Kluyveromyces lactis: one gene and its partner. The protein of the gene in region 1 purifies or fractionates together with the protein of each later gene. This does not show direct contact. Links are inferred from orthologs where the notes say so. Each region holds a gene or a part of one and is shown on either strand. Other genes may lie near its edges.

Region 1 (3,559 bases):
TCCAAAATTGATTTGATGGTATCCAAAATTCCCGTTAGCTTCAGGAGTGTAAATGCTATCAGTTATGATCAGTTCGATCCAAAATCTAAAGAGAATGTCCAAGAGTCTAGTCAGTGTATTGATTCTCTTGCAAATGAGGAAACTACTGACGTCGATGAAGTGACAAACAAAAGGATAATGACAAGTGGGAAACGCTCTTTCATAAACGCAGATTTAGTAAGCATAATAGCAGCCAAACGGTCCAAATTGAAGAGACTCTCCATATCTAATGGTGATGTTAACCCAGTTGCTACTCTGAACGAGACAGTTGAGCAATCTACAATGTCCAATGTCACTTTCCAATTAAGCGATAAAAGTTTCCATAATGCTGAAGAGAAAGTAATCATTTTTAATGCAGAGTATATTGCCAAAAACTACAAGTTGATCAATTTCTTACATCAGAACAACTTTTGTGTGCTTGAGATGGATTTGGGGGATCATTCGGATATCTTGTTAGACGCATCTACCTGTCTCATTCTTCGAAATATTACTTCAGTGTATCAGAAACAGGTCGACAGCTTCCCGTTACTCCGAGCAATACAAGAATTGAAGTGTAAATATAAAAGAGTGGTAATCTTCTTATCGTACTCAGAACGATCGTTAGCGTTAGATTCCAACTTAGCTTACAAGACCCAACTTTTATTAAACTGTCTCGGTGGGACAACAACTCATCTAGTTGAGGAAACACAACTCAAATTAACAGCAACGTGGATTTCATTATATTGTGGTACCAATACGCCCAATGAACAGCAAATTTATCGCATGAGCCTTAGCAAAGAGGTCTTACAACATTTCGACATCAATCCAATCGCAATTGAAAGTATTCTGTCACTCACCTCATTAGAAGAATTCTTATCAATAAGTTATGGAAAAAGAGCCCTACTATATGGCAAATTTCTCACAGAATACCAACTAGCTCATATTGATGATTTTGTGACAATGAGTTGGTCAGAGTAAATTCATTCTCATACGTCGGCTCGAATGAACCTTACCCATCCAAGCTAAACTCACGATCTATTTCAACCAGTCATATTGAACGAACTCTTCTAGTATTGGTTTCCTGATTTTGATGAACCTTTTTTTTCCCTTCGAAAATGGAACTGAACCAAAACATATCAAAATAGAAAACTTGAAAATAGTTAAAAATGTACGAACCTGGCAAAGCTGTATCATTCCGAAAGCATAATAGTCTCGTTAAAGTTTTGATTCAGGCACCAGGAAACCTGTGACGTGATACATTGAGAACAGGGCTTGATAATCATGGTTGTACTAGCGGTTTCTATCACTACTCGTAAGGGTAAGCCTTTATTGTCTAGACAATTCAGAGATATCACGAAAGATCGTGTTATGGAATTGTTGTCGAATTTCCAGACTTTAGTTGCCAATTCCTCAAAGCAGCACACTTTTGTTGAAGATGAACATGTCAGATATGTTTACAAGCCATTTGATGATTACTATATTATTTTGATTACGAATCTTCATTCCAATATAATCCAGGATATGGACACGTTGAACATTTTTGTGCAAACGGTTGATTCTACTCTGAAGGGTCTAAGTGAGGAAGATGTTTTCGATAGTGCGTTCGATATCTTGAACTCATTCGATGAAATCATTACTATGGGCTACAAGGAGAATCTATCTTTAACTCAGATTAAGACCTTCTTAGCAATGGAATCTCATGAGGAAAGAATACAGGAAATTATTGAACGTAATAAGGAATTCGAAGCAGCGGAAGAAAGAAAGCGTAGGGCAAAAGAGATTTCGAGAAAGGAACAAGCAAGAAAATTGGGTATTCCGGACACTCAGGAATTCACCGGTATCCATGGTGGTGTTATGAACAAGGCGTATGACAGTTACTACAGCCATGCTTCATCCGCGGCTCAACAGTCACACATGCACACGCAATCTAATCAAGGTATTCAACAACAGAATTTAGCACCACAGCAACAACAGCAACAGCAGTATGCAAACCGTGAGCCTTTGGGTGGTAAAGGTTTGCAAGTCAATGGGCCAAGAAGAGGCGTTGAAAGACCGATCAAGAACGTGGAAAGACAATCATTATCAGTTCAAACAGCAACTCTGCCTGAAGAAGAAAAGCCTATCAACAATGGTATTTTAATTAGCGTAAAAGAAACTATTAACGCTGAAATTTCCCGTGATGGTGCTATCATGGGCTCAGAGTTAAAGGGTGTGTTAGAATTACGTGTTAATAACCCTGATCTTGCACATGCCAAACTATGTCTCGGTACAGACGTCAATGTCAAGGACAAAACGTATCAATTCAAAACCCATCCAAATGTGGACAAGGCTGGTTTCTTAACTAACAAAACGATCGGGCTAAGAGATCCTAACAAACCATTCCCATCCAATGATCAAAGTTTGGGTGTGCTAAGATGGCGTAAGGTTAAGGGTGCTGATGAACATGATTTGATCCCATTAGAAATTTCAACATGGTTGTCTCCATCTTCAGAAACGGATAATGCCATTGATGTTACTTTTGAATATGAAGTCAACAGTGATTACGAAGGAACTATCGATGAATTACGCTTCTTGATTCCTGTCTTCACCGATACTGTATTCATCAAAGATGATCTAAACGAGGCTAATGCAATCGTAGAGGCCATTGACGAGTCCCAAGGTATTATCATTAAGGTGGACCCAATTGAATCCGGTCAGTCAAGCGTATTCAGTGTTACTGTCCAAGCTGCTTATGAAGATGCGTTATTCCCTATCGAAGTTGCTTTAAAGAACAGCAATGCCAAACCATTGTCTAACCTAAATATTGCTTCTGTTGTATCTGCCGCAGATGACACTGAACTACCATTCGACACCGTATCTACCTTGAAGAGTGAACAATATGTCGTAGTGTAATTGCACTTTGCAGTATTAAACAGCAGCATGTGTCTCTAGCAGAAAATACTGCTACTATATAAGTAATCCTATACATGTTTGTGTATTTTTAAGAAGTAATGTACAGTGAACTCCACCAAAAGTAATAAAAAAAGCCGAAAACTGAAGAAAAAATGGTAATCTGATCCGTATGCAATTGATTAGATATGGCCTGTTAATACCTATTGCAATACGATCGGCGCATCTTGTGTCCTATCTTACCCATTGCCTGCTTTCATTTGTTCAAAGTTCCTATAAATCTACTACTATGTAATGAGAAATTCAAGATTCAGTGAAATTGAAAATATCAACATTAACTTAACTCAGACCTTGCATGAATATGTTTTGCCACCGAAATAAAGGGACAGAGATAGACAGCAACCAAGATGCCATCGTTACCAGAGCTAACCAAGGGGTTGAAGACTGCCTTTGAGGGCAAACAATATGAAACATGTTTGAGATTACTACTTCCTATCAAGATTGAATTGATTAAAGCAAAATTGTTAATACCTGATATCAAAAGCGCTAAGGAAAATCAAAGCTATCTACAGGATCTGAATATAGCAAAGAAGATACTTGAGATAGGAGCACTTTCAAGCATATACTGTGAGGATTTTGAAACTTTCATGAA
Region 2 (2,694 bases), on another chromosome or scaffold:
TACTAGAAAGTAAATCTTGAATCTCTTTGGTAGACTTTTCAACTTCTTCGTCACTCACATTGGATGATTTCTTGTTACCTGACGGAGTAACTTTTGGCTCATCAAGAACAGATGTTGAAGACAAAAAGCTATTCTGCTGTTGACCAGTGATCTTGTTCAACCTGCTGGAAGCACCTCCGTTGGAAAACTTCTGTTGCCTTCTTTCCCTCAACAATTTACGTTTCTCAGCATCAGACAATTCAGTAGCCATCTTGTAAACTCCAAATTCTGTGTGAATTACAGCTCAATTCGGGGGAAACTAAAGTAGAATTAGATCGACAATCAAAATAAGAAGATCAACTCCCCTGAATATTCGAACTAAATACAACGCAGGTGCCTTGTAAAACGATACCGAGTGACTGGTTTCAAAACTAACCCTTCACATTGTATAGGATGTTTGATCAATCCGCTTTATCTTGACAGTTCCCACGAAATTGATGGGAAAAAGAACAATGTTACCCGGAAAGTATCGCCAATACCAATACTATTTGCTACTCAAGATCTATTTGATATATATAGATTTAGGCTGTGTACTTTGCCACAATTTGATCGAAAGTCTTGTTATTTTCAAGGTCGGCAACACATAGTGGGTGAGATGGTTTCAATTGTTGCAATTCCGATCTCAATTCGTTTGCATTTCCACCAGATAAGATGGTGTACGTAATCTTATTTGCAAGTAGATCAGGCTTGTACGTTTGTGCTTCTTGTTTGATATCGTAGAACTCGCTTTCTAAGAGGTCGATGATTGCTTTGGATTCAGGCAAATGCGATTGTTGGAGGTGTAAATTCAATAGGCCTAATTGAGTCTTCCAACTTGGGAAAGTTTGAGACAACTCTTCAAAGAAATAGAAATTGGATCCAGTGATCTCTTTACCCTGGTTGAAGTTGATGTATGACTCTGCAAGATTCAAAATTATTTCATCGTCGTTCGATTGCTCCTGAAGTGCTTGGAAATTTTCAAACATAGTCGAGGCAATGGTTGGTTGATTATCCAACAAAGTTATTTGGATGGCCGTTAACAGTAGTTCCGGGGTTCCTCTTGTTTCATCGGAGTCAATTCCTTCAACGGCAACCTCCAAAGCAGTTTTAAACTCGCCCTTTATAGTCAATGCACTTGCTAATAAGTTCAATGCAAATGGAGATCTGCCCGCCTTTTCAACGGTTTGTTCTAGTGCAGTGATTGAGCCTGTAGGTTTGCTTAAAAATTTATAGTAAGCCTCAAATACAGGCCCAAGTGAGCCAGAATCAGCACTACCCTCACTGAACTGGGACAATGCAATCAATGATCTATTTCTGTAGTAAGTCAACGCCTCATCTTCAGTTTTGTTAAACTTAGAAACTTCGTTCAACGCTTCTTCATAGTTACCAGTATAAAACTGCTGTTTTACAGTAAAATAGTCCATTTCTTCTGAGTTGATATTTTTTTCTCAACAAATCTGACGTCGGAAAACTTCAATTAACCGTTATCGTGTATTGAAAGCGACTTTACTGGCTCATTAACGGGTCTATCTCACACGTATCCTTTAATATTGAGAGTCCATATGCTATCTTACTTTGATCCACCATGCGAATTGTCCAAAACTGAAAAACTGACAGGATCAGGGTAATGGATGTTTTTCATTCACGTGATCTTTTTTTTTGTATTTTTCCTTTCTCGAATAATTCTCGAAGGTGTGGATCACCATATGGCGTTTATTTAAGGGATTGAGAGTATTTATCAGAAGAAATTCAGAGCCAGTTACTTTGGACGTTTAAACGATACGGGTTGGAAAAGGAAACAGATTCAGTAATTAACAGTACACTTCTTACGACCATTGGTTAATTCCGGATTTGAGATTTATATTTAAAACGTCTGAGTGAGAGAGAGAGGTTAGCAAGAATTTTTTCCTTCTTAAGACGAATCACGACTTGGCCTAGATTTATCTCAGACTAATTTCATGGTGAAGAGTCAATCCACGTTAATATATCATAAAAGATTTATTTAACTGGATCTTTAATTAAAAACCTGTCATAATGTCCGGTTCAAGTGACAGTTCACATGATACCACCGTTAAGGATATAACTGAGGATGAGCAGTTCTTGAGGATAAGAAGGCTGAACGACAACAACCATGGGAAGAGGAAGTCTTTGCATGAGGAACAGTTGGAGGATGCTGTTCTCGATGAACTTGGATCTCCGGACGTTCTTTTCAACACGGTCCAGCCTAACGACACGGTTATCTTTAAGACTAGAACCACCTCCGAACAAGGCGACAAACATCTGCATGTTTTCATGCAGAAATTGAAGGTGAAGGAAAAGAACAGATATAAGAAGGATACGAATGAAATGCAGTCCATGACACGAGATGTAGACTGGGGCTCTAGAGGTAGTATCATGGATGAGATGGTCAACAATCCGCTTAGATCTCATTTCAATGGGCCAGCAATAGACGAGAAATATTCTAGAGTAAAGGCAACAGCCAGATCAAATACGGTGAGGATAGATGACAATAATACTATTGAAATTGCAAATGAAACTATAGCAACAGACTTTTCTGGATTCTATGTCTTATTTTGGATGGCAGTTGCGTTCACCATCTGCAAAGTGACATTACAATATTACGAGGAACATGGTGATTTTTCACAGTCAATTATCTTGCGATACATGACCATGAAT

What was found. The genes of interacting proteins can lie anywhere in the genome.
Region 2: the proteins of RET2 (region 1) and SEC28 purify together in Saccharomyces cerevisiae (affinity purification with mass spectrometry; 6 studies listed by BioGRID). This does not show direct contact. The link is inferred for Kluyveromyces lactis from reciprocal best matches to the Saccharomyces cerevisiae genes RET2 and SEC28.

The regions. Positions count from the first base shown.
Region 1 is NC_006040.1:975,759-979,317, reverse strand, and holds RET2 (coatomer subunit delta), read left to right. Parts: upstream 1-1,299; coding exon 1,300-2,910; downstream 2,911-3,559. Other genes in the region: ZIP2 (Zip2p), read left to right, coding at 1-996; proteasome regulatory particle lid subunit RPN12, read left to right, coding at 3,315-3,559. UniProt on the Saccharomyces cerevisiae protein: The coatomer is a cytosolic protein complex that binds to dilysine motifs and reversibly associates with Golgi non-clathrin-coated vesicles, which further mediate biosynthetic protein transport from the ER, via the Golgi up to the trans Golgi network.
Region 2 is NC_006039.1:798,568-801,261, reverse strand, and holds SEC28 (coatomer subunit epsilon), read right to left. Parts: upstream 1,443-2,694; coding exon 561-1,442; downstream 1-560. Other genes in the region: GET complex subunit GET2, read right to left, coding at 1-250; ARE2 (sterol acyltransferase), read left to right, coding at 2,053-2,694. UniProt on the Saccharomyces cerevisiae protein: The coatomer is a cytosolic protein complex that binds to dilysine motifs and reversibly associates with Golgi non-clathrin-coated vesicles, which further mediate biosynthetic protein transport from the ER, via the Golgi up to the trans Golgi network.